Linked DNA regions of Cricetulus griseus. The main gene of each other region encodes a partner of the protein of the gene in region 3 in a complex. Links are inferred from orthologs where the notes say so. Each region holds a gene or a part of one and is shown on either strand. Other genes may lie near its edges.

The links.
Region 1: Smarcc2 (region 3) and Dpf3 share a complex: the UniProt entries of both Homo sapiens proteins name them as parts of the BAF complex. The link is inferred for Cricetulus griseus from reciprocal best matches to the Homo sapiens genes SMARCC2 and DPF3.
Region 2: Smarcc2 (region 3) and zinc finger protein neuro-d4 share a complex: the UniProt entries of both Homo sapiens proteins name them as parts of the neuron-specific chromatin remodeling complex. The link is inferred for Cricetulus griseus from reciprocal best matches to the Homo sapiens genes SMARCC2 and DPF1.

The regions. Positions count from the first base shown.
Region 1 is NC_048598.1:120,232,812-120,242,691, reverse strand, and holds the start of Dpf3 (zinc finger protein DPF3), read right to left. Parts: upstream 5,785-9,880; 5' UTR 5,716-5,784; coding exon 5,684-5,715; intron 1-5,683. UniProt on the Homo sapiens protein: Belongs to the neuron-specific chromatin remodeling complex (nBAF complex).
Region 2 is NC_048602.1:6,510,854-6,520,633, forward strand, and holds the end of zinc finger protein neuro-d4, read right to left. Parts: intron 9,421-9,780; coding exon 9,293-9,420; intron 9,061-9,292; coding exon 8,971-9,060; intron 7,903-8,970; coding exon 7,824-7,902; intron 7,604-7,823; coding exon 7,472-7,603; intron 6,616-7,471; coding exon 6,565-6,615; intron 6,473-6,564; coding exon 6,353-6,472; intron 5,146-6,352; coding exon 5,033-5,145; intron 4,509-5,032; coding exon 4,397-4,508; intron 4,251-4,396; coding exon 4,180-4,250; 3' UTR 3,124-4,179; downstream 1-3,123. UniProt on the Homo sapiens protein: May have an important role in developing neurons by participating in regulation of cell survival, possibly as a neurospecific transcription factor. Belongs to the neuron-specific chromatin remodeling complex (nBAF complex).
Region 3 is NW_023276806.1:129,429,174-129,439,053, forward strand, and holds the start of Smarcc2 (SWI/SNF complex subunit SMARCC2), read right to left. Parts: upstream 6,457-9,880; 5' UTR 6,407-6,456; coding exon 6,296-6,406; intron 4,335-6,295; coding exon 4,215-4,334; intron 3,257-4,214; coding exon 3,171-3,256; intron 2,425-3,170; coding exon 2,343-2,424; intron 2,249-2,342; coding exon 2,156-2,248; intron 580-2,155; coding exon 510-579; intron 281-509; coding exon 211-280; intron 1-210. UniProt on the Homo sapiens protein: Involved in transcriptional activation and repression of select genes by chromatin remodeling (alteration of DNA-nucleosome topology).

The DNA.
Region 1 (9,880 bases), on a different chromosome or scaffold from region 3:
TCTTCCCGTGTTAAATACCTTCACCGTTAAGGACTATTTAAGATAGGGTCGTGCTTATATAAGACTCCTGTTGGAAAATCACAGCAGGGTAAAAAATATTCCAGTGCTTGTGGGATTTTTTTTGGCCTGAGGTTTGCCACATTTGGCTACATTTCTGCCTTCGAGTGACTTTCAAAACACTCAAAAACCACAAAAGTCACTTTGCTGAGGTTGGGATAACAAGCAGACCCCCGAATCCTGGGGCCGTTTTTATGACTGTCACTGCCATTTACAGGGCTACAGTTTGAAAAACGGATGCCAGCCTCAGTTTCCATCCTTTTGGGGTACATGCTCAAAACAAAGCATGCTGGTCATTCATATGTTTGATGTTGATCTAAAAGGATGGTTCTAAAACAGCTTGAGACATCACAGCCTTTAGAGGATAAATCTGAATTCCAGCTACCTGAGTGGCTCCAGGAGTCAAGGGAAGAAGTAGACCCTCCAAGTCAATCACCGTGGGATCCCAGTCTGTTCTATGGGTCTCAAATGATCCCGGGAGGTCAGCAGCAGTTGTTTTCAAAGATTTGCCACTTGGATTCTGACTGAAACTAATGTCCTTCATGGGTATGAACTTCCCATTGAAAAAATAATGTGTTAATGAAGTCTGGAGGCTTTGGGGCTTTTTTTTTTTTTTTTTTTTTAAGATTTATTGTATGGCCAGGCAGTGGTAGCAGCGCACGCCTTTGATCCTAGCACTTGGGAGGCAGAGGCAGGCAGATCTCTGTGAATTCGAGACCAGCCTGCTCTACAAGAGCTGGTTCAGGGACAACCTCCAAAGTCACAGAGAAACCCTGCCTCAACACCCCCCCAATAAAGATTGTGTGTGTATGTGTCCAGAGTATGTGTGTTCATGTGTACGTGTACAGAATCCAGAAAAGAGTGTCAAATAATCCCTCAAACTTGTATTACAGGCAGTTTGAGATGCTCTATGTGGGTGCTAGGAATCGAACTCAGGTCCTCCGAAGAGCAACAAGTGCTTTTACCTGGTGAGCTATCCCTCTCCCCCACATCCTTTTTTTTTTTTTTTTTTTTTTACACTGATGAGTAAAAGCAGAGAGAGATAGTAGTGCTGAAACATCTACTTTTCCACAAAGGACTAAAATAATGTCCATAAAAGGCTGCAAGTTCACAAAGCCCCAACCCTACTCACCACCCCCTCCCCAACGAAAATAGCCAAGACAAGATTAGCACCAGGAATGTGGCCCCCTGGCCCTTCCTCTCTGATAGCTAAACTGGCTACCACGGCAAGAGTAAGGTCTGGCTTCTAACTTTCATGTGCCCCAAACCCACTTTAGATTAGAACACACATCATCCACATCAGAGAACAGATAGGAAGATGAAAACTTGGGGTCCATCTATACACATGAGCCATGTTGGATCTCGACTAAGTAAACATTTACTTCTCTCAGAGTTATGTCCTTAATAATAAAGCATAAATAACAGCACTGACCTCCAAGCTAGGGTAACTCTTTACAAAGTAAAGTTTTGATGCAACTGTGTACATGGAATCATAGTGACAAACATGACTAAGTAGTTTGCTTTTCTCATTGTTTAAAATCAAATAATTAAAGTATTAAAGCCCTAACTAGAGTAATTAAGTAATGATAGCATTTATTCCTCTCTGAGCTTGGAGTTATAAAAATAGATACATATGTACATGATCAAGTCTGGCAGAAGGTGGCAGGCATTCCCAGTTTAAGTGCTTATGGCCAGAGTTTCGAGAAGTCACTGAGAGATTGCTCTGTCTAAAGTGCTGTTGGCAGACATGGGGGAAGGTGATTTACCTAAACTAGAATATTAAGGTTAGAACTTACAAAAAAAGTATTATAAGGAAAGGAGAGATAGCTCAGCAAGTAACCTTGCTTGCTTCCAAGTCTGAGCTGAGTTCAATCCTCACAACTCATAGAAGTAGAAATGACTCCAAAGTTGTCCTCTGACAACACACACATACATACACACACACACACACACACACACACTTGCACTTGTAACAGTACCTCACCAGATCAAAATATACACACATAAAATAGTAATTTTTTAACAGGTTCTCTCTATGTAGCTCTGGATGTCCTGGAACTCACTATGTAGCTAGTCTGGACACGAACTCACTGAGACCTGCCTGCCTCTGGCTTCCAAGTGCTGGAATTAAAGGCATGTGCCACCATGCCCAGCTAAAATAAGTATTTTTTTTAATTTAAGCATTTATTTCCTAAGTATACAGAAATCAACAAGTATACAATAGTAACTCTCACACACACATGCCTTTTTCAAATCCGTCTGTGGCCCTTACCTCTGTATACAGAAATTGAGGATGACTCCAACAATCTGCACTCAGACAATGTAGCTGCTAATTTAAACAGCACACAACACACATTTACACACCACACATGTCCATCCGTGCTTTTGAATTATATTTGTCCAGATGTGACCACTTTGTTGTAGGGCCACCTGCCGAGTCTCCTTTCTGATCTAATCTGTCCAGGCAGCTCCTCTTTCTGCCTCTAACACACCCTGTTGGGCAGTAACAAGAAGTTAAAGGCTACAACGGAGAAGCCAGACTGTCAGCTTCAGAGAGGAAAGGGTGAAAGCAACAAGGGGAGTTGAGGGGAGATTAAAGATAGCCAGGAAGAAAGGCAAACTACCAAGAAAGGCTGTTTTCAGGCGCTTGGAACCCTACAGAAGACACCCCCACCCCCACCCCCACCCCCACCCCCACCCCCACCCTATGCAAAGCAAAGACATTCAAGTTAACCATCCAGTCACCCAGTGAATTGAATTATTGAATGCCCCACATGGGAAAAAAAAAAAAAAAAAAAAAAAAAAAAGGCTAGCAAGATGAAAAGTAACCCATAGTCTAAGAAGGCAGAGCCCTGCACAAGATTGCATGAAAGAAACCTGAGCTGGCTTTTCCCCATACCCTAACTACTGCTACTTATCCCGCAGTCCAAGAGGAAATCTTTGTGTGACCAGTTTCTGTAGGGGGCGTCCGTGGTGTTGCCTTTTTAAGACGAGAGAGACTGCACGCACACGGAGAAAATGCTAATGCGGTTTGGAGCTCCGGTTCATTGTCAGGAGGGGCACACAAGGATAAACACATAAGCTCTCCAAACCATTCTCATTGCTCCTCCTCCCTGCGCCCCCATCCATCCCTTCGGCTTGCTGTGTCGCTGCGCTTTGTTCTAATTTAGCCCATGCATAATTTATTCACGTGTGTTTTGTTTCCTGAACAGCAACTTCTAAAAACAAATGAAATATACAAGATGTTTTATTAAACAAGTTTTTAAAAATAATAATAATAATAATAGAAGCAGATGACGTCGGTCTCCCAGTAACGACGCGTGTGCTCCTGCGTGCGGAGTTTTTAAAATATCCAGGCTGCAAAACCCTTGGCCGTTGGGGTTATTGTTTACACCCTTAGCCCTAGGGGTTGGGGGAGAGGATGGGATGCAAAAGGGGGCGGATAATTACAAAGTGACGGCTTGACTCCTTCCTAGGAAAGGCAGGCAGTGGTGATGTGTGTGAGCTCCCGTGTACGTGTGTGTGCCAAGACGGAGTTACAAATGCATCCCACGGTGTTTCCAATTATTAAGGAGTACACGTGTAATTCAGAACTAATTTCACTACCGAGATTGGCCACCTTCTTGCTGCTCTGTCCCTTCCCCCATTACCCCTACACTCGCAGGCTTCTATGTCAAAAAAAAAAAAAAAAAAAAAGTGAAACGATCTGGGGAACCCTGGAGCGTGGAGCTCCTGCGCGCGCCCGAGCGTAAGCCCGCTCCCGGGCATCAAGGAGACCGCTTTCCCAATAAGGAACCCCATACACATAGTAAATAGAACTCTCAGACTTCAGTTTACCAAGCAGCATCAGCTCGACTACGTGATTTCGGCTGGAAATGAGGAAATTGCAAATCAGCTGTGTGGGTTCTGGAGAAACTCCTGGCATCAGCGGTGTGGCGGCGCGAGTCGGCGAGGACGCGGCGAAGTTACGCCCATTTATTCTGCCATAAAACATTTTCTCTCTTAGGTGAAATGCTGTCGCGAGTGCAAAGTAGCTGAGCTTCCGAGCGAGAACTGGAGCCAGGAACTCGCATCAGGCTCAGCCTCCAGTGTCTTCTTTACCGCATTATCTCGTGGAAACTCCGAGATCTGGGACATCCCTGCCCTATTCCTGGTTGCTAGCTGGTGCAAACGCAGCGGGTTCTCCCTAGGCGTTTCTTGGCACTAGGAATCCCCCCCGCACTGCCTTGCTGCTCTCCAAAGCGAACCGTGTTTTTGACTCCACGGGTTAGGACGCTGTAGCAGGCAGTTAAAAGAGCCAGGGTCGACCACCGCCACAAATTGGGAAGAATTGGCACGAAACACCCACGCGCACCCTCCTACTCCCAGAGGCTTTCACCGGGCGGGGAAGTCCTAGTACAACCGGCACCGACCGGAGCCCACACCGCGCAGCAATTCCCAGGGATCCACCCTCTGCCAACATCCCTGCCAATAGCGCCCCTTGAGAGCCACACTAGTTTTCCGAGGCCACCCGCGGCTCCACGATCGCTCGCGGACTTGGCGGCTTCACATTCACAGTTCACCGACTGGAGGGAAGGGAAGGAAGAAAGGGAAGGAAGGGAAGGAAGGAAGGGAAGGGAGGAAGGAGGGAGGAAGGAAGGAAGGAAGGAAGGAAGGAAGGAAGGAAGGAAGGAAGGAAGGCAGGCAGGCAGGCAGGCAGCTCCGACCGGGGACCGGCCCCCGCGAATCCTCGCGCAGCCCGCCCCCCTCTGTCCGCTCAAAGTCTCCCGGAGGCACCTGCCCCTCGTTGTCGCCAGAGCCCCGAACCGCCTCCGCCTACCTCGGCTTTTCACCCAAAGCAGGCAAACACACCATTCATAAGACCTGCAGCTTCCCTGCCTCCACATCAACCCCCAAGTTAATCCAGGTCGTTAATTTACTACCGCCAGTTCGCCCACAAATACGCAGACACACCGGTGACCGCCCGGAGCGCCTCCCTGATCCCCCGGCTGCTCGAGTGGAAAAGCCCGGGGCTAGCACCTGGGCCCCAGGACTCCCGAGACCCGCCGCTCCGCGCGCTGTCCTCCCAACTCCGGAAGGTTTGCACAAACTCCCTGCGAGAGCTCGGAAGGCAGAGCGAACGCCCAGCAAACTCCGCAGCTGCAGCGGTTGATCAGCCCGCCCGGGCGGACCGACGAGCCGCGGAGCTGGGAAGCCTCGGGCTTGAAGCTCAGGGCTCAGCGGAGCGCACGACGCGGCCCCTGCCCCGCGCTCCGACCGGGCTCGGCCAGCCCCGCGAGGTGCCGGGAGAGGCAGAGGACTCCGGGGACCGTGCAGCCCGAGCTGCTCTAGACCCCCGCAGCTCCGGAGCCGCCGCCGCCGCTCCGGGCTCCCTCCCGGTCCGGGTCAGTCAATTAAGCAGAACACAGATGTAACAATTTTCTTTTTGTTAATTGCATCTCCTGACATTTCTGCGCGCTGGGAGGAAAAAAAAAAAAAAAAGATGAAGAAGTAAGAGCAGAAGAAAAGAGGAGCCCGGGCGCAGCGGGAGGCGTCTGCAAGAGCCGGGCGCCGGCTGCGCTCCGCAAGGCGCCTTTTTTTCATATTGAAACCACGCGGAATATGTACATTTTTTAGTCTTACTTACGCTTTCAGGGGGTTGTGAATGACAGTCGCCATTTTGCTACAATGTAACAGAATATTGTCTGTCTCAGAGTTCTAAAGGTTCGCTCAGGGGAAGCGGCAGGCCAATCAGAGCACGGGATACCGGCCTGCAGGCCAATCGCCGCGGCTGGTCGCCAGGTAGGCGGGGCCTACGTGGTGGTAGTTATTAGGGGAGCTGTCAAAGCCCAGAGGTCACTCCCTTTTGTAGAGCCCGAGAGCGAGCAGGTCTTAAAGGGGCAGTACAGTGTTAGTAGCGCCCTTGCTGATTGGGGCTAGTGGACACACATGGGAGAGAATTCTCTCTTAGTTTGAGCCCCTACTTTACTAAATAACTGCAGAGAGTTTGCGCTCCTGAGCAGGAATATTTACATAGGGCCATCAAAACCATTAAATCCCATTCATTAGCTTTGGACTTCATATATCACCGTCTTTACCTCCCCACCCCACCCCCGCTCCGGGTACACCTCCCGTATTTCAGTGCAAAAGTTGGAAGGCTGCAATTCCCTGCAAGAAATTGCTACTCGTGTTTCACCGATTGTTAATAATGCTGTAGGTTCTGAGGCTGTTGAATATTCTTGTCCCCGAAGTGTTTTCTTTATCTCAGCCACCTTCCCCTGTCGGTTTCTGGGAACTGGCTAGTCCAGGACAGCAACTCCCTTCCCCCTGGAATGTCTCAGCGTCAGGCTCGCCCTCTGCTGCTGCTACGGTTTTTTGTTACGTAATTCAGGGGTGGTCACTCTGCGCTGTCCCCTACGACCACACCGTTCTCCGCTGTCAGCGATTCACAATGATCTGACACGGGCCAGCTGGAGAGCAAAGGGAGACCTGGCGCTCTTTTGGCAAAAGGATAGGGAAGATTTGAGGCAACTTTAGCAAACGCAGCTAAGGAAGCAAAATTGTTAGAGCCTGAGGTGGGTGTTGCTGGAGTTCCCTCGGGGAACGGCGCTGCGGATACCGGCGTCACCTTTCTGGACTAATATAGGACGCAAAAAGAATTCTCAAGCCAATGTTGCGACGTGACTCGAGGCTTCCCGAGTCTGTTGCTGCTCAGAATCTGGCGAACACTTGAAGAAACTGAGAGACTTCTGCGAACTCAGGCTTCCACGGAGAACAGGGAGGGAGGCTCAGAGTGAGCGAAAGCACTTAGAGGCGTCGTTAGCATGTAGAAGCCTGGCTACCGACCCATAGCTGTTTAATACGGCCAAATGGATGGCGAGGCGGGGGGGGGGGGGCGAAAAGAAAAAAAAATGAGAGATGCTGAACTGCTGGTTCATAATTCCACCTGCTTTTTCCTTTTACTGCCCTCAATGAATAAAGTAAAATACAACTACAAAGCAGTCCAGAACTTTCAGATTCCAACTCCATTCACTATTAGAGTTACAGATAAGCCCAGCAAAGCTGAGTGAGTACGTGTGTGTGCAGACTGGAAATATTTAACTCTTTGTTTGCCTAGTAGGGTGTTGTTTTCCCCCACCCCCTTCTCTCATTACAGGGTCTCCTGTATCGAAAGCTGGTTTTGATGAACTACATAGAGAGAGCCAGGCATGATGGCGCTTCCTTGAAGTTCATAACCAGCCTGGACTACATAAGGAAACCCAGTCTCAAGGCTCTGCCCCCAAAAAAATAGCATTGCCTTGTTTTTTGTGCTTGATGGAATGTCATTTTAACTGTCAATACAAGTCTGACTTTATAGTCCTCAAGTCTGACTTTAGAGTCCTTTTTTTTATTTTTATTATTTATTTATTTATTTATTTTGACACAGGGTTTCTCTCTGTAGCCTTAGCTGTCCTGAAACTCTGGAGACAATGCTGGCCTCAAACTCAGAGATCTGCCTGCCTCTGCCTGGTTAGCACTGGGATTAAAAGCATGTACCACCACTGCCTGGTTATAGTCACTTTTTTTACTTGTGAGAAATAAAAGATATGTTACTAACTTTGGTTTTTGTATCATAGATAAAAAAAGACACAGATTTGGGCCAGAACCTTCAGAAACAAGGGACTTGGAGTGAACACGCTTAAAAAAAACTTGACCAGAATTAAAGTCTAGTCTTTAGCTGTGCTGTACAGTAGTAATATAGGCTGTGAAATCCACCTGTCTGCCCATCACTTGTCAGCTGGTGGCATAAAGAATATAGGGAATCCCAATAAGATGACAATAGAATGTAGCAATAACTATCCACTTCTGAAACTCATTGATTAGAGCAAATGAACAACAATGACATCAATAATTCCATGATATAGCTCCATAGACCCAAAACCCTTCTTACTAATTGTGATGTCAAAACATTTTTTTAGTTACATTTCAGGGACTAGAGAGGGTTTAGTAGTTGAGAGCACATGTTGTTTCTCCCAGCAACTACTTAGTGATATACACCATGTAACAACAGTTCCAAGGGGGATCTGATGCCCTCTCCTGAACAATTCAGGCACAAGACATGCACATGGTACACAAACATGCATGTATCCATGACTTCCATAGGTACTGCACAAGGCACAGAGACATAATATGCAGGCAAAACATCCACACACATAAAATAAAAATAAATAAATCAAATAAATAAATCCTTGACAAAGTAAGAGTAGTATTAGGGAAACAGCTAAGTGCTACAGTGATTGCTTAGCATGCACAAGGCCCTAGGCTCAGTCCTAAGAAGCATCCCTCATCCAAAACAAACTAAAGGTGCTGCAAAAGCCATCCTCAATGATCGAAGCTCCTCCAGGGCTCTGGGAACTAGAAGGATTATATCAAAAGCAAGAGCAGGTTCCCCTTCCATCTCTCCATTCATCCACAGCACAGGCAGCCGTGACCTCAGTAAGCGGTTTCCTGGTATCCACAACGAGCTCTGGTATGTTCTAAGCACTAAGCTGAAGTAAACTTCCTTTGAAGAAAGCGAAACATTAAACTGTGGCCAGCAAAGCCAGGCAGTGGTGGCACACACCTTTAATCCTACAGGTGGATCTCTGAGTTTGATGTCACTCTTGTCGGTCTACAGAGCAAGTTTCAGGATAGGCAAAGCTACACCCAGAAAAACCATGTCTTGACAAACCAAACAAATGGATAAATAAACAAACAAACCAGGCATGGTAACAGCCCTCAAAATGCAATTCCCATCCATCTGCAGAGAGAACTAACCTTGCAAGCAAACAGAGCAATTGCTTTATGTGACTTGAAAGGAAAAAGGAACCCTCCCCACATCCCAGCCATCTTCAACTGTGGCCTGGTGTACACAATCCCAATGGTCATATCCTTGAGTGTTTATTGGGTGCCTCTACTTTTTAGGACTGTCAAGGGTCCAAAGTGTGGAGGCTTTTACACATTAGTGTGAGACAAAGTGATAGGTATCAAAAGCCCAGAGTGGAGGCATTGAGCCATTCCAACATGAGGAGAGGGAAACTCTTCATGAAGAAGATATCAATTAATTTGGTTTGCTTAAGCAGACCTTAGACATGAGACAAGGGGTAAAGGGTTTTCTAGACTAAAAATATAACCTAGCAACAGCTACTTTACATAGCAAGTATTTGTAAATTCCCTATTGCTGGGTCTTGGACTCAGAGAAGCAAAGGACAACCCTACATATAGGAAGACTAGATGGTATTTGAAAGGCAGGGGAAGGGAGCATTGGGCACCAGGGTAAGACAAGAAACACCAACTGGGCCAGATCAGGGTCATCCCCTTAGAAGAGGGCTTGTCTGGGCTTCCTCTCAAATGACAATGATGGGGGTAGGGAGTAACCTCGCCTTCAGAGTTGTTTGTAAGAGAGCATTGGGCTTGTGAGCAATCCCTTGGGTGGGAAAATGGTTGTACAAGATGAGTGAGAAGAAAAACACTGAAGAGAGAAGGTGGGATGTAAATACTAAGAAATTGGGGCTGGAGAGATGGCTTAGCAGTTAAGAGCACTGACTGTTCTTCCAGAGGACCTAGGTTAAATTCCCAGCACCCAGCTCACAATTGTCTGCAATTCTAGTTCCAGGGAACCAGACACCAATGCACATAATATATATATATATATATATATATATATATATATATATATTTGGTTTTTTTCGAGACAGTGTTTCTCTGTGTAGCTTTGGAGCCTGTCCTGGCACTCACTCTGCAGACCAGGCTGGCCTCGAACTCACAGAGATCTGCCTGCCTCTGCCTCCCGAGTGCTGGGATTAAACGCGTGCGCCACCAACAC
Region 2 (9,780 bases), on a different chromosome or scaffold from region 3:
CCTCCCTTCCTCCCTCCCTCCCTCTCTTTCTTTAATGTGTCTCCTCGAATCTTCAGATCATTCAAATCATTTTGGGGACCTAATCATGTACATTGACAATTGTAAATTAATAATTTTTGGTTTTGTTCTATTATTTTTGTAAGAATTTCTGCAAAAAAAAAGTATTTAATTTGAGGTTGATATTCCATCTGATGGCTGGAGATAGCAGCAGGTTTTTTTTTCCATGTTGATTTGTTCCATTTGGATTTTTTTATCATTCTTTATTGTCTCCCCCCATCCCTGTCTTGAGATTTCTGGCATGTTTCAGGAGGTTTCAAAGGAAATAAACGTTTCATAGAAATGGCTGGTGTGCTCACAGGCAGCTGCCTGAAAATCGGCGCAGGCTCCCTTAAACGCATGTCACACCCCTGCAGTACAGCATACACTTACCAGCCCTTACAGCTTTTCCTTGGCATCCAGACAACACAAATCTGCCCCTCAGGATGTAGAATTGTGCTAAAGTTTAAAAAAAAAAAAAAAAAAAAGCTAGGTCTACAGGGTGGGCATGGTAACACACGCCCTTAATACCAGAACTCAGGAGGCAAGGCAGGTGGATCTCTGAGTCTGAACCAGGCTGCTTGAAATAGCAAGTTCCAGGCTAGCTATGGCTACACTCTGAGACCCTGTCTCAAAAGGGGGAGGCGGTGGTCGGCTTCTAATCCTAGCGCTCTGAGGCTGGGGCAGGAGGATCCCTGAGAGTTCAAGGCCAGGCAGCCTGGACTCTCCAGCAAGAGCCTACCTCCCCAGAGACTGGAAAAAGCTGGTGGTGTTGGCGCACACCTGTAATCCCAGCTCTTGAAGGGAGGGGGCATCAGGAATTCACAGTCATCCTCAGCTCTATAGCAAGCTATCCCCAAGATAAGTGGTAATAATCCTTTTTAAAAAACAAACAAAAAAAAAAAACTTCTGGACTAGAAGTAGCTCAGTGGTTAAGAGCACCAGCTACTCTTCCAGAGGAGCACTAATGTCCAGCTGCCACATGGCAGCTCACAACTCCAGACCCAAGGGACCCTATTCCTTTTTCTGATGTTTTAAGGAAAAAAAAAAAAAAAAAAAAAAAAAAAACGGCAAAACAAGAAAGTCCACGCCTTGAATCCCAGCCCTTGGCAGGCAGAGGCACCCCGATCTCTGAGTTTGAGGCCAGCCTGGTCTACTGGAGTTCCAGGACAGCCAGGGCCATGTAGACCCTGTCTCAAAACCAACAAAAACACAGGATTTCAGGTAAAATAAAACTATCCTAATCTGTGGGACTCAAAAATCAAAGTCCCTACCCCATAAGGGCCCCACCTGCTGCAAGCCACACCTCTTCATCTCCACCTCATTTGCTTACTCTGCCCCGCCCACTGAGCCCCACTGTGGCATGCATGGACTTCCCTCTGCCATCAGTCCAGGAGTGGCTTGCAGTGGAGACCAGCCCCAGGCCTCTAGGGGTCAGAGGTAGGAATTACGTGATGAAGCTCCCTCTGCATCCACAAGGGAAGTGTCACCAACACACTCCTGAGACCACGGCCAGGATCAGGTTCTCTGTGGCCCTCCTGGAGGCAAGGTGGGGGCAATTTAAAACTCCGTCTGTGGACACTGAGGCAAACTGATTTCAGACTCAGGAATTCCACGGGAAGATCCCAAGGACCCACTTCCCGAGGGAACACCGCTTCTCTGAACAGGACTTCACCCCCCACAACTAGCTGTCCTTGGCCTCTTTGTGTATGAGTTCAACTCTGGCCCTCTCCGCACCCCTGCCCCCTAAAAATGTCTCCCGAAAGGGTTTGCATCTATCCAGTGGAGAATCAGGCCCTCCCAGCTACTCAGACATCCTCACTCTGCACCCTCCTCGGGGCCCCATCCTCCAGCCCTGCCCTCCCCCCACCAGCCCGGGCCAAGCCGGGAGGAGGGAACCTGGGAACAAACTGTTCTCACATCCTCTCCTGGCCCGGGAGACACACCAACCACCATCTCCCAACACCCCACAACTCACAGGCGCACCCGCAAGCGCACGCCAAGCCCTGATGGCGCCTGCGCTGCCAATAGTCCCTTCCCTCCTTGCCCCAGTTATTCCTGCCCCCCCTCCCCCACCTCTTCTTAGCTTGCCACTCTATCTCTGGCCTCAGCTGGCTGGCACTCCAGATTTCTGTTGTCCCCCACCCCACCCAGTTTTTTTTTTTTTTTTTTAAGAGAAGGCTCACAGTGTAGCCAAGGAGACCTACAGGTCACCATCCTCCTGCCTCAGCCTCCAATGCTGGGATTCTGAGCCACACGGTTTGCTACCATTGCCTTCTAACCAGAAAACACCACCCACCTACCCCCTCATCGCTGTCTATTGTTGCCTGCCTTTTGCTTCCTCCTGACTTGGTAAATTTTCTGCTTCTCTCTCCAAAATGCTGTCCACTTCACCCTCCCCTGGTCTTGCCAGAGCCTGGCCTTTTTTTTTTTTTTTTTTTTTTTTTAAATTTCTGGACTAGTCCTCCATCCTTGTCTCTGTTCTCTTCCCTTGGAATTCTTGGGGGGGGGGGGGCTCTCTCTTCATCTGTGTATCTCTCCGGCTTTGTCCTTTATTCATTCAGTAAATTTGTGACCTCAGAATCCTCCCCCTTCCTGATCAGTGCCCTGGTTCTCCACGCTCACCCCCCACCCCCACCCCCACCCCATGTCTCCTTGAGTCCCTGTATTTCGAGATGTGCTCCTGCCCATCTCCAACTTTAGCCACACCCAGGGCAGGGAATCCCAGGTGACAACCAGCCACGCTGGGGTGCCATCTCCTCACCACAGCCCGGGAGGGGGCTGCCTTCGGGTCTCTCCAGCCCTCCCTTCCCCCCAGCCCGCACTCCCACCTCCCTCTTTGAGCTGCCTCCCGCTGCAGCTGCAGCAGCCCGTTGCTAGGGCAACCACAGCTGGCTGGGTGGGAGCCCCTCACCCCATCCCCCTCTTCTCTGCAGCAAGACAGGGAGGAGCTGGGACAAAGCCAGAGGGAGGCAGGGTGTAGGGGCAAGGGGGTGCGGGCCGGCCACAGTGCTTTCTACCCCAATGAGGCCTCTTGGCTCCCCATCTTGGTGACACCCCAAAGGATGTTAGAGAAGGAGGCAGTCGTGGGTAGAGGGGTCAGGCCCAGTTTAATACACAGAACAAGTTAATTCACAGCAGAGGCAGGCAATAAAGGAGACTTGGTGGCAAGGGGGGCACTCCTGGATTGGGGGTAGACTCCCCCAGACCCTCCGCCTCCCCCACTTGCCGTCTCAATTTCCCTTTTTAAAACCCGAACAACAAACACACACAACCACAAGAAACAACCACACCCCCTCACCACCCCCAAAATGGCTGGATGGGAGGGGGCAGCAGGAGGCAGCCCGGCCTGGCCGGGTAGGGAAGGGGCTGAGAAGAGAGGGAAAAAAATGAGTCCATTGCAATCTGTGCTTCTCGCTGCAGCGGGCTGGCTGCCTGCCTGCCTGCCTGCCTCGCCCCACCGGCCTCCCCCAGCTGCATGCCCCAGGCCTGGCAGGCACCGGGTGGGCGCAGGGTGGGGCTGTCAAGGAGGGGCAGGAAGAGTTCAAAACCATGGTTTCACATCATGCAGTATCCACGGTGGGTCCTGGGGGAGGGCAGTGGGTGGGCACATCGCCCACCTGGCCTGGGTGTGAGGAAGGAATGGTACCCACCTCAGATGGGGGAGTTGAGACAATTGCAACCCCAGAATCGGGGCAGGGAGGGGCCAGTCAGGAAACCGGTAACATTGGTACCCAGCAGACACTCCGCTGTGCCCCTCCACCCAGCCAGGCTTTATAGGACTCTTTGTATATATTAATTTCCTTTTTTTTTTTTTACTTTTTGTCTTTTTCTTTAGAAAAAGGCTTTTCCGTGCCCCCAGATGGCATCCACTACCCCCCTATGCCCGCCCAGAGGCGGGGTATGGCTTTGAGGGGAGCAGAAGCCCCTGGTGCCCATTTGCCAAGGGATGGAGGGGGGCAGGAGGAGCCTTACAGGACCCACCCACCCACAGGGTAACATTCCACTTGCAGAAGAACGCCTTGGTCCCCTCCGTGCTCCACCGCCTCCCTCCCCCTGGGGACACCGGGTGGGAAGAGCCAGGAGCTCCTCGAGGCAGGAAAGTTAGCACCACCCAAAGGTCCTGGAGAAGCAGAGCCAGGCCTAAGTGAGGGTGATGTAGGCAGAGGCCTTCTCTTTCAAGTGCCGAAGACAGAGGTGGCAACTCCAGCTCCCTGCGGGGGAAGCCACAAGACAAAATTAGACTCAAACCGAAGAAGGGCGCCCCCCACCTGTCCCCACCCAGAGCACATGGTCTCTGCCACCAGGAAGACAGAGTTCCAACCCACCCACCCCATGTCTCTCAAACCTCTTCCCTCACCTTCCGGGGGCTCCGCCATGGGAGGGTTCAAGCAGTACATATGGTAACCCCGATCGCAGTCATCACAGAACAGCAACTGGTCCTGGGGGGTGAGACCCGCCCAGCTGGCACCCTGGGGGCATGGGCACCAGAAACCGGGGTGGGGGGGCTGGGGCAGGGGCTAGGTCCCCAGGGGCTCTTCTGAGAGAGCTGGCTCTCCAGTCTGTACTGTGGAGCCCACTGGCCTTGCTTGTCGTCTGGATTTTGTAACTACAGAATACGGAATGATGTTCAGGGGCCCAAAGCAGCTTGGGAGCCACGAGTACACATACATAGGTTCAAATCCTGGCCCTGCCATGTTCTCAGCGTGGTGGCCTCTCAGGCATCACTCTCCCTCCCTGAGCTCAGCAGCCTCTTCTATGTGTAGTGGGAACAACAACAGCAGCCTCAAGGGAGGTTGGGAGGTGTCAGACGGGAAGGGTGTACAGAGACAGGCTCCAGTCAAGGGGCGCTGGTGACAACAGTAACGGATGCTACTGCTGGTCACCCAGGGGCGATGAGCAAGGAAGGCTTTAGGCTTCACGGGCAAAAGCAGCGCAGCCAGGCTGGAGGGGCAGCGGAGGTGTGCCCCGGGAGGTGGGGCAGGCAGGTACTCACGTCGTTCTCCGAGGTGCCACACAGACTGCAAGACTTGCATTCAATGCACTGCCAACGGTAAGTCCGCACCGCTGCGGTCATGTTCACCGTGAACTGTAAACACGAGGGATGCCCTGGGGACCGAGGGGCAGGGGTGCAGTTAGCAGGTCGTTGTACCCCTGGGGAAGTAATGGCTCTATCCCCCACCCCTGACTCAGAGGTCAAGATGAGCTTGGTGGTGGGGACCCTACCCCCAAGACAGACAGACATCCGGAAGCAGGACTGCTGGCAAGCAGCTGTGTGTCGGCCACCACAGTCTCCTACTCAGCCACCATGACAACCACACTCTGCTCCCCAGAATACCATGGCAACCGCATTCCATTACCCACGGTGCTGTGGCAACCGCGTCCTACCACCCACAACACTGTGGCAACCACAGTCTGTTAAAGCACCTCACTCGCACTCGGCGGCCACATTCCAATACCCACAGCAGAGCGGCGGCCAGCCCTCATGTTAACCCCAGCAACGTGGCAGCCGCCTTCTCCCAGCCAGGATGCTATAGCAACCGCTTCCATGAAACCAAAGGCCATGCCACACAAGGCACCAGCAAACAAACCGCCACTGACAATAAATACTTTCAGTGTTAGTCTGTTCTCCCAAAGCAGCACAGACACACCTGTGGCCACTGCACACAGCACTTCCCACAGCGCCCAACACCCACAGCCACTGTCCACAGAGCCCGACAGCCACTGCCCATAACACCCAACAGTTACAACTACTTCCCACAGAGCCAGACACCAACAGCCCACACAGCCTGACAGCCAGAGCTACTGCCCACACTGCCCAAAGGCCAGTAGCCACGTCCCCACAGCCACTACCCATGGCATCTCACAGCCATGGTCCACCATGCCGTAACAATCACATTCCGTTGTATTAAATTGCCAAGACAACCCATACTGCAACAACCACAATCCATTACCCATGCTACTACCCATGAGACCTCCATGAGAAACCACATTCTATTAACCACAGTTCTAGTCTGTTCTCTACAGCAACCAGGTGGTGCAATTCATTACTCCCGTACCTCAGTCCCCCTACCCACAATGCCTCTGCGGCTTCTGTCCATTCTCCATACCAGGAAGACACAAAGCCATGACACCTCATACTGTTCCTACATTGATCCCGCTCAGCTTCCCACAGTCCTTAGCAGCAGGGGCAGCCCCTAGGCTCTGCCAAACTACTGTGCCCTGGGGTCTTTACTCCCTTGCCTCCCATTCCCCAAATTTGAATTCTGGGGTGTCCCCTCCCCTGCATCTTCCAGGAAAATGTGGTGAGTGTCACCTGATCGCCCACAATCTGCACAGGAGATGAGGTCCTCGGGACACCCAGTCTTCTTGGAGCCCCCCAGGCAAAAGTCACAGTAGCCATTGGGGATGACAGTGCCGTCTGGTGCTTTCTTGGCTGAAAGACAGCAGGCAGCGGTGGGCACGGGACAGGTGGGCACCCTAGTCAAAGACTGCTGCAAACGTCAGGGTGGAGGGAGGTGCCCCTACCTGTGTGTTTCCTCTGTGCCTCAGGGACCCAGGCCAATTCTTTGTAAAACTCTGGGGGTGGGGGGACAGAAAGGGGCTCTTACTATAGGCAAGGTCCCATCTGTCCCCAGCCTCAGCCCCAGGGGTGGACTTTTGGCCCAGGCACTGGGAAGCAGCAAAAACAGCTGGGGAAGGGGCAAATCTCACCCAAACTTGGCGTAACTCTATGTTCTCTTTATTTGGGTGAGTGTGGGCAAGAGGTATAACCTTAGCAAAAGACCATGACTGCCTCCCCGTCACGTGTGTGCACCCTCAAGTCAGCTTGCCTGGCTGGGCCACCAGTTAGCAGGCAGTTCTGCAAGACCTGGTAAGGAGACCTATTCAGGAGGACACAAGAGCACAGGAGGTTCTGGGCCTGGCCTGAGGCTGCTGAGGAGCTCACTCTGAGGGGCAGGTGAGAGACAGCTCCCTTCCCCCATGGCTCAGCTGTCATGGCATGGAACGGGTGTGGGTGGGTGTCAAGAACCCTGGGGGCCACAGACCTTGCCCCTGGACCTAGCATAGCAGAGAAGGGAAAAAGGGAGGCCCAGAGAGGGAGAGGAGTTATCTATCACCCCCCCCAAGCTCTAATTGAAACAATAAATCAGACCCAGAAATATTATGCCCGGGCAGGGAGTGAGGGAGAGAATGAGAGAGAGAGAGAGAGAGAGAGAGAGAGAGAGAGAGAGAGAGAGAGAGAGATGGTTGGTTGTCATGGCAACCCCAGAGCCAGCATCCCTATGGTCGGTGGGGGAGGGAACCGTTAGGCTGGAGATTTTCCAGAAATGTCTAATGAGCCCCCACCTCCCTTCCCCAGCCACTACCAGGCTCCATTGCCCCCACCGCACACCCAGGCATCTCCCCCACCAGCCCTGGCCCTCCAACTCACGTTTATGGTTGTTTTTCCGGTGGAAAGGCAGGGCGTGGCGCTCAGTGTGCTCCTCCCCCTCCTCCTCAGCCAGGTGGGTGTGGGTGTAATGGTAGCTGAGCCCTGGTCGGTTTTTATACCTCTTCCCACAGACTGAAGAGTGAGTGAGTGGGTAGTTGTCAGACACCAAGGCCGCCGCCTCCACCCTGGCCTCCAGGATCATACCATCCATCCCCTCTCCCAAAGAACACTCCCTTTCCCCAAGAGCCATTACCAGAACAAGGGCCATAATGTGTGAGGTCACTGGGCGCCCCGCACCCCGCACCCCCCACCCCCGCCCGCTTCCTCTCTCTTTCCCCTCTGCAGAACTCACTATCACAGACGTACGGCTTGTCTCGGTCCTCCAGGGAAGCAGTGTCCTGGCGTTTCCTAAGACCGCCAATGCCATATGCCTGCAAGGAGGAGGGTTAGGAGTAAGGAGCCCAGAAAACCAGGGAAAGGCTCCTCATTCTTGGGTTTTTTTGAGTTTGGTTGTTGTTGCTGTCAGAGGCAGGGTCTCACTGTGTAGCCCTGGCTGTCCTGGAACTCACTATGTAGAAGAGGCTGGCCATGCAGTGACCTTCTGCCTCTGGATTATGGGTTTGCTGCCATGCTTTATTGGGCTTCTTCACTTAGACTTGAAAGTCAAACTGGAAAACAATTTAATTTTCTTTTCAGTCTTGGGGTTTGGCTCAGTGATAGAGCAGTTGTCATGTGAGTATGAAACTCTGGGTTCCATCTGCACCCCACAACAGCAAGTCAACCTGCACATGAAACTGAGCAAACTTTCTAGCTATAAGTCTTCGACTTCTCTCAGTACAAACATGAAGATAATTCTTTTTGTCGTTGCTGTTTGGCTGTCCCTGGCTGTCCTGGAGCTCACTATATAGATCAGACTGGCCTTGAACTCACAGAGATCCTCTTTTCTTGGCCTCTCTAGTGCTGAGATTAAAGGTGTGCTCTAACACATTTTTATTGCTTTTACTGGAGATTTTTGTTTTGGTTTTGTTTTGCTTGTGACAGGGTTTCTCTTAGTAGCCCTAGCTGTCCCGGAACTCACTCTGTAGACCAGGCTAGCCTCAAACTCACAGAGATCCCACCTGCCTCTGCCTCCTGAGTGCTGGCATAAAGGGCATCCAGTAGAAGATTTTGGGTTGTTCTGTGTTGTGTGTACGGGAGGGAGTGGTTATTTGGGTGGTTGGTTTGGGTTAGAATTTTTTTTTTATTTCTCTTTGCACAGGGTCTCTGGTATGTAGTTTAGAATAGTCTGGAATTCACTTGTCTCAAACTTGAGGCAGCTCTCCTGCCTCAGCCTCCCAGGCACTGGGACTCTGTGTGTGGAGGACCACACCCAGCTCTGCAGACAGGTCTGATCCACAGCGCAAGCTTTTTTTTTTTGGAAATGTTTATAATCCACTGAGTCTCTACTCCTACATACAGCTCTGGGGAGGAGGTGGTGGGGAGAAGCTTCCGGAAGATACCTTTCCTTTGGCCCTGTTCTTCCTCCTGGGAATGTCTTCCTCCAAGTCTTCTACCTCGAGATCATGCGGAAACTCCAGCAACTGCTGTTTCTGGGCCCAGTAGAAGGGAGATTGGGGGGTCAAGAAGGTGGGGGCACTGGTGTGCAGCAGGTGGGGCGGGAGAGCGAGTCAGGGAGCCTTCTACAAGCAGCGGTGTTTCTGGGAGGATGGAGACGTAGGGTACCCAGAGGCCCTATGGAGCCAGGTGGTTCAGAGCAGGAAGGCCAAGTGGTGACAGGTGACAGGGTGAGAGCGGCCCTGCAGTCAGGGTGGGAGCTCCTACCTGACAGTCCATGATGGTCTCCTCTTCCTTCAGCTCTACTTTCTTCTCTCCTGTCTCGGCACACAGCAGAGCCTCGAGGACTGGCCCTTCCGGAAGGCCACCCTCCTTCTTCAGGGGTACCTCACAATCTGGGAACAGTCCACAGGGAAAGCAGTGTCAATCGAGGAGACTGTTGCAGAGTGCCCAGGTTGCAGTGGGGGGTGGTGGGGGGCGTTGCAGTGCAGAAGGTTGCAGAGGGGTTGGGGGGCAAGGCCAAGACAGACACAGGCATGGTTCTTGTGGCAGTGACAGGTTCTCCCTCACCCAGCATACACTCAGCCAACAAGGACATAAAGATTCAACCTCAGGCCCTGGAAAGTGTACCCAGATCCTGGGGAGACACAGCCACACCCTCAGCTCTACTCAATAAAAAAAAGACAAGGCCAGAATGCTGAATATATCCAGAAACCCTCAGAAACAATATAGGCCCTCGTAAACAGCTGTGTAGT
Region 3 (9,880 bases):
AAAAGGATTGCTACAAGTTTGAGGCCAGCCTGATCTACATAGCAAGTTCCGTGCCAGCCTGGATTACATAGCAAAATTCTGTATCCCACCCCCACCCCCCCAAAAAACAAATAATGAAATAAACACCCAGAACAGTGCCTTCTTGCTCTGCCAGACAGCTTCTGTGTCTGGTTGCTGCTTCTCCTGACGGCCCTGAGAACCCATCCTCACCTGTCAGGGTAGTAGCCCCAGTGCAGAAGAACTTGTTTGTCCCTCTTCATGACGGGTCGCACCCATTCCTCTGAGGATAGAGACAGAGAAGAGGGAGCAATAAGCTGAGGGAAACACAAGGACTAGACAAAGACTCTACCTAAGCACTCTGCTCTTCTAGCAGGAGACTCAATAACGGGAATCCATGGGATGAGGATTCAGGATTGCAATGCCCAGAGCCTCAGGTGTGTATGGTGAACTAAGTTGTCCTCCATCCACCAGCCCAAGCCATCATAGCAGAGAGGAAGACCCGGTCTCACCTTCTTCTAGGTTCCCTGGGACAGGATACACAACATGGGAGGCATTGCTTTTATCCTCAGTGATGGTTCCCTGGATAGCACAGGGAAAAGCAGGTAAACCTACTTCCTTTTGAGTTACTCTCAGGTATAAATATAAGAATTAAAATCTAAGCACAGACCTGCCCGTCTAACTACATCTTTCTTGCAATGGCATTACGTGGCAAAAAAACACAGTGGTAACGATGTGTTAGCATTGGGGAAAAGCCAACGAATTAAATATTACCACAGACAACCCTCTGTGTGGATGCGCTGCATAGTGGAGAGGTGTGTGTGGCGTACTGCCTGTGTGTGTGTGTGTCTGTGTGTGTGTGTGTGGCGTACTGCCTGTGTGTGTGTGTGTGTGTGTGTGTGTGTGGCGTGTGTGTGTGTGTGTGTGTGTGTGTGTGTGTGTGTGTGTTGTGTGTTGTGTGTGTGTGTGTGTGTGTGTGTGTGTGTGTCTGTGTGTGTGTTGTGTGTGTGTGTGTGTCTGTGTGTGTGTGTGTGTGTGTGTGTGTGTGTGTGTGTGTGTGTGTGTGTGTGTGTGTGTGTGTGTCTGTGTGTGTGTGTGTGTCTGTGTGTGTGTGAGTGTGTGTGTGTGTCTGTGTGTGTGTGTGTGTGTGAGTGAGTGTGTGTGTGTGTGTGTGTGTGTGGCGTACTGCCTGTGTGTGTGTGTGTGTGTGTGTGTGTGTGTGTGTGTGTGTGTAAGCTAGAGGTCAACTACAAGTGACCTCTAGCTTCTATTTTCCACCTTATTTTTTTAAGACAGTGAACCAGGAGCTTGACATTTCAGATTAGCTGGTTAACAAGTCCCCGGGATCTACCTGTTTCTACTTCCTAGCTCTCGAGTCATAGGTAGAAACTACAACACCCAGGTTTTACATGTGTTCTGAGGATCCAGACTCAGTTCTTCATACTTACATAAGAAACTGAAGTCATCGTCCCAGCCCTACCCACCAGAAATTTAAAGTGGACTCTGTGCCCATCCATAATATCCCACTTCTCATTAAAAAGTAGTTCCAGTAGGGTGGTGGTGGCTCATGTCTTTAACCCCAGCACTCAGAAGGCAAAGGCAGGTGGATCTCTGTGAGTTCAAGGTCAGTGTGGTCTACAAAGTCACACAAACCCTGTCTCGAAAAACCAAACCAAACAAACAAATAAAAAGCAGTTCCAAAGAAGAGAGATTTTGTTGTGGTTGTTTTAATAGCATCACTTTTATAGCTGAGGCAGGCCTGAATACACTATGTAGCCAAGGATGACTTGAACTGTTTTGATCCTCCTGCCTCCACTTCCTAAGTGCCAGGGCACATCATGGCACCTGATTGCAGGGTTATGTTTATCTGAAATTAGGTCTGTCTAGTTCAGTGGAAGACATTCTCCTTCATCCAGGCCAATATAGTGCCAAGGGGCAGTGATAAGTCTATCAAGCCTGGGGAACAGAGCTGACAAGCAGGACAAGTGCTGTTCAAAGTGTGAGTAGAGAGGGCCACAGCACAGGGGAGAACGTGGCACAAGTTGCTTCCTGATGGAAGACACATCAGTTGTGGAGAAACGCACTGTAACAGGGGTGACAATGCGTGAACCAGTCAGGAGTTCAGGAGCCTGACTTACCTGCCTCCCTTCACACTTACCTGATGCCTCTTAACAATGTCTTTTAATTTTCCCAGCAGCTTAGGCTCAATCTCTGGGCACAGGAAAATGTTAGGTCGAGACAGGCAATTATTCTGTGAGGAGGAGAAGTGGATGAGATGAGGAGAGACTGCTTTATATTCTTTCTGCGAAAAGGAAAATGGATGGGAGGAAGGGCTTGAACGTTACCTGTACCAAGGACTTCTCAATGGTCATGAACATTTCTACATTGCGGTCCATGCGAGACGGATTCTGGAAATCGTAACGCCGCCTTGTAAAGGGATGATAATCTAGTAAGTTATAGTTTGTGTGAGGGCACAGGACTCATTTATGTTTTTATTTTATGTATATGGATGTTTCGCCATGTTTGTAAGCACCATGTAAATGCAATGCCTGAGGAGGCCGTAAGAGGTCATTGGATCTCCTGTAACTGGGTTACAGAGGGTTGTGAGCAGCCATGTGGGAGCAGGACCACATCTTCTGCAAGAGCAGCCAGTGCTTTAACCATTGAGCCATGTCTTTAGCCCCAAGGGTACATAACTTGTTTTTTTGTTTTTGTTTTTTTGGTTTTTCAGGATAGAGTTTCTCTGTGTAACAGTCCCAGCTATTCCTGGAACATACTCTGTAGACCAGGCTGGCCTCAAACTCACAGAGATCCACCTGTCTCTGCCTTCTGAGTACAGGGATTAAAGGCTTGTGCCACCAACTCCCAGCTTGGTACAGAACTTCTTAACAATTAGGAGGTAATATTGTCACAAATTTTGCCCAAGTCACAACTGCATGATTCACTCTATGTGTTAAATCAAAAGGACAAAGTTTGAGATGCCAACCTAAAAACCCTCTTCCCAGACACACTGGTTCTTGGGGACTGTTCTGGCTATGCCATCTATTTTTCTGATCTATCAAAATAAAAGACACATAGGATTTCTAATGCGTCCTCTGGCTTCAGAAGGACCCCAGGAAACACTGGGAATTTTCTTTAAACTAAACATGAACAGCAGAGAGAAGGCATCTCACCATCCCTGGTCACTCTTGAATTTGTAGGCAGCTGCCAGAATGTGGCACAGGGATCCTCCTGCTTTGAAATCTAGGAAACATTTGATCTACAAAATAGAGACCAGGAAGAAGTGTGAGTTACATTGTAAATAAAAACCTGCCACAAAAATCCCACTCTGAACTCATCTCCTTCTCAAATGTTTTGTTTTGTTTTGTTTGTTTTTTTGAAACAGGGTTTCTCTGTGTCTTTGGAGGCTGTCCTGAACTAGCTCTTGTAGACCAGGTTGGCCTCGAACTCACAAGAAATCTGCCTGCCTCTGCCTCCCAAGTTCTGGGATTAAAGACATCAGCCACCATTGCCTGCCAGGACACTGTCTTAAAAAGCAAACAGCCAGGCATTGGTGGCTGATGCCTTTAATGCCAGAACTTGGGAGTCAGAGGCAGGCGGATCTCTTGTGAGTTCAAGGCCAGCCTGGTCTACAAGAGCTAGTTCAGGACAGCCTCCAAAGACACAGAGAAACCCTGTCTCGAGAAACAAAACAACAACAAAAAAGAATCCCTGGAGGTATAAGCCACCATGTGGGTACTAGTAATGGTACCCAGATACTCTGCAAGTGCTCTTAACCACTGAGCCATCTCTCCTGCTCCCAAATGTCATACCCTTTTAAACCATAACCATGAGAGACACACCAGAGGACTAAACCCCATATTCTCAGATTACTTGTGGCACAGGGGTTTTCTAAAATAACAGGAATAGCCAGCTGGGGACTAGTTCAAGCTGTAATGCCCTGACTACTAATGACGACAATTACTGTAGGAAATAAACCTACCAAAATTACGAAATTTGAAGAGAAACAAGATGAATTTATTTTTTCTTTTGAGACAGGGTCTCATAACATGGGACACAGTATCAGAACTGCTATGTAAATCAGTTTGGCCTCCAACTTTTGATTCTCCTGCCTCAACCACCCTAATTCTGGGATTCTGTGTACTAGGAAAAGAAAATTTAAAGCAAAACAACAAAAACTCCCTTTCCAGTTTGGAGGATTCGTCCCTTGCACTCACCGGCAGTTTAGTAAGGGGTGCATTGCTGACATGCTTGCCAAAAACCTCTTCCTGAAACTGGAGCAACTGCACAACCAGGCTAGACAGGGACTTGTTGGTCGGTGGTTCTGCTTGTATGTACTGAGGAAGAAGGGAAAGGAAGAGAAACAGATTCTAGACACGCTCTCTACCACCTCCCGTTTCTTTTCCCTGTGTTCTTGGAAGCACCTGGGACAGAGTTGTGCCTTTCTCCTCCACGTTGTCTGTCTATATCAAAAGGGCTCTAGCAGCTCCTGCATTTTACTGTCAGTAGCCCAGGTTGCCAGCACTGGGGACAGACAGCAAGGAACACTTTGCACTCTTATTTAGCTGCACCCCAATGCTGGCATTGCACAACACCCTGATAGCTGGTCACCTCATCCCCAGCAAACAGTTAAAATCTTGAAGCTTTATGAAGTTCAAGGCAAGGCAACAAAAATCCCTTTGAGGCTCTAAGTGACACAACAATGTATTTCTTGGGGGAACACGATAAAAGACCAGGCTTCCACCCATAATGGTATCTTAAGAGAGCAAAGAAGAGAGGCAGGGCAATCTAACTTCAAAACTAAGCCTGTACATTTTGCTTCCACTGAAACCTGACATGATTGTCATTGTAGGGTCTCCTCTCTAGCAAGGAGGGCAGACCACCCACCGGGCCTGAGGATAAGTAGGAAGCCCGACATCTACCTATCCTTTTCTGAGGAAACAATGACCTCAAGCATTTCCCTATGGTGCTACCTGGAATCCTACCTTTCTGTTTTGTTCACTGATCCAAGGAACTAATTTTCTCTTTACCTTTTGACCCTTATTTCCTCTACCCTAATCAGAGTCAGACCTCTCTCGGTGGGAGGTGTCAAAAGATCTGTGAAGGGAGAAGTAGATGACAAAGAGTTCAGCACTTGAAAGCTGAATCGGGTCACAGCTGTCAATCCCCTTGGGGCGATAGACTAAGACCCTTGTCTGGTCTCCCTTCAAAAGGTCAAAAGCAGACTGGGAAGCAGAACCTCATGCTGGGGGTACACACAGGAGTCACAGACCCAACAGCTGTTTGTCAAGAGTCTTGACACCCATAGAGACCCCAACTCAAAGCAGGGTTAGTGGAGAGTTCTGAGGCTGACCACTGTATTCTGACAGGTTGCAAAGCTGGGATAGGAAGAGTTGGGGGCTGTAAAAGAAAATAAGTGGTGGGGGGGGGAACCTTAGGCAGGGGTATCTAGGAAGCAGGCCATATCCAGGAAAAAAAAAAAAAAAAGCCTAGAGACAATGAAAACACCAGAATGAGATTTGGGTTTTTTTTTTGTTGTTGTTGTTGTTGTTTGCTATGTTTTTAAAAACAGGTAGGGCTTCTTGAACCCTTTTGTTCACCACCCTTATTATTTCCAGTTACGGGGTGGGGGTGGGGACTGGCGATATGAAGCTTACCCTATCCTCTGGCCCTCAAAACCCAAGCGACGCTGGCTAGCTAGCTAGCTAGCTAGGCTGGGTTGCAGAGCGACTTTATTGTGAAGCCAAGGGGCCCGATGCCCTGGCCCCCGAGGAGGAGGGAAGGGGATAAAGCCTGGGGGACAGGTGATCCCCCAGGTAGAGACGCTTCCCACGGCCTGTCCCGTGCCTGTCTACCCTCCCGCTTTCTCCGTCTGTCTCTGGACGGATACAAAGCACCGAGGAGGGAGGCCCGGGCCGTGCCGGTACCTGGCTCGGCGGGGAAGCTCCGGCGCGGGGGGTGGGGGAGACACCGCGGCTCGCACACCGGAGGAGAGGAGGCGCGCGGCGGTACCCGGCCGACCGGGTGGCCGGCTCTGGACCGGTTAGCCTCCGGGAGAGCGAGGGCGATCGGGCCCTGGGCCGCCGCCCCGAGCCCCGGGCGAGCCCCGGGCAGAGGGCACAGTGGGGGCGGGGTGGGGAGGGGGCGCGGCGCTGCGCTGCGCGGGGAGGCCGCGGGGAGGGGCGCGGCGCGGCGCGGGGCGGCGAGGCGAGGCTAGGCGAGGCGGCCCGAGGGTGGGCCGGCCCCGGGAGAGCCGCGGCCCGCGAGCCCTTTGTCCCGGCCCGCCAGCCCGGCGTACCTTCTTGTAGTTCTTGCCGAGCCAGAGCCGCACGTTGTCGAACTGGGTCACGGTGTCCGCGGCCTCGTAGTACTTCACGTTGGGGCCGCCGTCCTTCTTCCGCACCGCCATCTTCTCGGGCTCGGGCCCCGCCGCCGCCGCCGCCCGCCCGCCCCGCTCAGCTCAGCTCAGCTCAGCTCCCGCCTCCTCCTCCGCCCGCCTCCCGCCGCCGCCTCCCCGCCACGGCCGCCGCCTCCCGCCGCCTGGGCCGGCCCCGGCCCGCGGGAGCGCCCCCTGCTGGCGGCCCGGCCCGACGCGGCCACAGCGAGCGGGCTCCGGGGCGGTGGCGGCGAGCCTCGCTCGCGGGTGGGTGGCGGCTGCTCCCCGGGGTCCCGCAGCGGGAGTGGGGACCCCATGGGGGACCCCGGTCTACAGGAGCTCCGCCCGCCCCTAACCCCGAGTGGCCCCCATCATGCGCGCTCCCTTCCCTCCAATAAGTCCCTTTCATCTCCTCCCATTCCGCTTTCGACCCCACGGGTGTTCCTGACGCTCCGGGTCCCGGTGCCGCCCAGCATCCCCCGGGGGTCGGGGCTCAGGTGAGGAGGGGGGTCTCTTCCCTCCGTTTGACTTTCCGGTCTTTTTGCCGACTGTCTGTGATTAAGGGATCGGTTTGCGAGCCCGGAGCCCCCGACCCTTCCGGGCCAGGCAGGCGGGATAGGAGGCAGCGGCTCCAGGTGTGCGCCTCGGGGCCGCCACCGCTGCGGGGTCGCACGCGCCTCCCTCGGGCGCCGCCCGGACCCTTTCTGTAAGCGCGCGGCGGAGCATGGTTTTGGGAGTCACGGTGGCCGAGTGGTTAAGGCGTTGGACTCGAAATCCAATGGGGTTTCCCCGCACAGGTTCGAATCCTGTTCGTGACGACATTCTCTGTTCCTTTTTTTTTTCCTCCGCCCCCGCCAGCCCCCCACCCCCATCTAAATGTGGAAGTGAAAAGATCGCATCGCTTCATTAGGTTAGGTGGGGGTAACATAGAAACTGATCGATGCACAGCTGTTCTGGCTGCTAGGTCACCAGGCAGTTTGAGAGATCTGTAACGATTCATGAGATAATGAAAGATTTGGGTGAAGATTTGTTTTGTTTGGGAATGTGTGTGTTGTGCAATGATAGTTAGTGGTGAAATTTCTAGGGAAAGAGGGCGTCTTGGAGATTTGTGACTAGAAGTCACACATGGAAGTCTTATGACACTGGAGACCGGAGAAACAAGCATTCCCTCATTTGGATGTTTAAGTTTGAGACAGGACCTCATGTATCCAGACTGCCCTTGAACTTGGACAGTAGCTAAGACTACCTTGAACTTTTTTCTGATCTTCCTGCCCTATGTTTCCAAGTGCTGGAGTTACAGGTGTGCTCACACACACCAGGTTCATGTCTTGTTGCTGAATCCAGGGGTTCAGGTGTATGCCAGGCAAGCATTCTCTGTTGAGTTGTGTTCCCTAGCCCACATTTGAAATTTCTTGAGATTAACTTCAGGTATGACAACAGGCCTAGAAGGAGGCCTATTGAAACTTAACCACTGCAGATGGTATTAGTACACGTTAGGTACCAGAAACAAGTTAAAATCTCCATGTACATTATTAACCAAACTAGGAAACTTGTCCTTTTCAACCTCTTACCCTTTCACCTTCCCTAGTGTTTGCAGGCTACTTGTTCTTTTTGTATTTCATGTCTTACATAGCGCAATCTTCTCCGAGAAGGAGCTCTGCGAATTCATGGAGCTGTCTATGTGTTGGTACGGGTTTCCCACCTTCATATGGCTGGCTCGCTGCTTCCCTGGCACCCCGATTAGCACAATGTCTAGCCTCACCCCCATCACTAAGTCCTCTGCATACCACAGGCTAGTCCTCCAGCTGGAACCTATCACTATCCCAGCACCAATGAGTTTCATGCAAGGAATCTTTCTGTTTGCTTTGTTTGTTTAGCTTTGTGAGACAAAGTTTCTCCTGTAACAGTCCTGGCTGTCCTGAAACTCGCTCTGTAGACCAGGCTGGTCTCAAACTCACGGAGATCCACCTGCCTCTGCCTCTTGAGAGCTGAGATTAAAGGTGTGTGCCACCACCCGTCAGTTGTTCGTTTGCTTTTTGAGGCAGTTTCACTGTAGTTCAGGGTGGCCTGCTGCAACTCAAACTCATGGCAGTCTTTCTAACTTGGTGCTCTGACTGCAAGATTACATGTTTGAGTCATCACACCCACCTTGCAGGGAATCTCTTTTTCCACAAAAAAACAAATTCTATTTATTCCCCCTTCTAAGTATGTTTTAAATCAGCTCAGTTTTCTCAGGGATGAGTGTGTAGTGGGCCTACCACTTGTCAGTCTTTTGAGAAGTTGCATATCTAGTGCATGTCTTTAATCCCAGCACTTGGAAGGCAGAGACAGGAGGATCTCTGGGAGTTCAAAGCCAGCCTGGTCTACAGAGTGAGTTCCATCCAGGATAGCCAGACCTAAGAAGTGAGACCCTGTTTGGGTCTATTGAGGCAGCCACACGACGACTAACCTTAACCCCTGTCATGGCTGTTTGTATGCCATGATGTAACCCTTAACCACTCTTAGCCGGTTTTTAACTAGATTCCATCCCCTGGTTATCTGGCCTTGTCTGGGCTGTTCTGTGTTGACACATCCTTACCTCCTCGATCTCCTCTGGTTGAATGTGATGTCTCCTGTACAATCTCAGCAGTTGGGAAGATTGCTTTTGGTTCAAGGTGAGGCTGAGTTGCCCTGACAACCTCTTTCAGTAAGGACTGGAGATGCAGCCCAGCTGGTGGAGTACTAGACTATGTGAAGCCTTGGGCTGAGTCCCTAGAACTATGTGAACTGCTACACACCTGTAATCCCAGCACTCTGGAGGTGGAAGCGGGAAGACTGGATGTTCAAAATCATCTTATGATACATAGCAAGTTTGAGGCTCTCCTATGCTACATGAGATCCTGGCTCAAAAAAAAAAAAAAAAAAAAAACCTTTCTGATCACCTGTTCCCCCTAATTGTACAGGAAGTCTTTCCTCTTCACACTCAAGTCTTCGACCTTGCTGTGTGAATGAATGTATTCGAGTTTTCATCTGCATTCAAACTGGACTGTAGGTGTTCTGAGAGTTAGGATTTTTTTTTTTAAATCTCTTCAACAAGGCTTTAAACATAGTTGTGATCACAGTAACTAACAGAATTCCATTCTTTTTTTTTTTTTTTTTTTTTTTGGCCTGCTTTCCTATTAAACTATTTGGAGAGCCAAAAGAAGAAATGACCAGCAGAGGGCAGTCAACAACCATCTTGTGAAGGGAAGAAGGCCCCAGTTTACAAAATGGAGGCTGCAGAGGGAAGGGACCTCCACAAGACTGGGAGCACTTGAAGACCATCCCTTCCACTCTCAAGATTCTTCCTTTAGAACTTTTAGGTGTGAGGCAGCAGGGTGCCTAACCTGTGGGTCCAACAGATACTTAGGATTTCTAGTTAGGCATGGTGGCACACCATTGTAATCCCAGCAAAGACAAGACTCAGGCAGGAGGATCATGAATCAGAGGTTAACTTGGGCTACATATTAAGTTCAAGGCCAGCCAAAA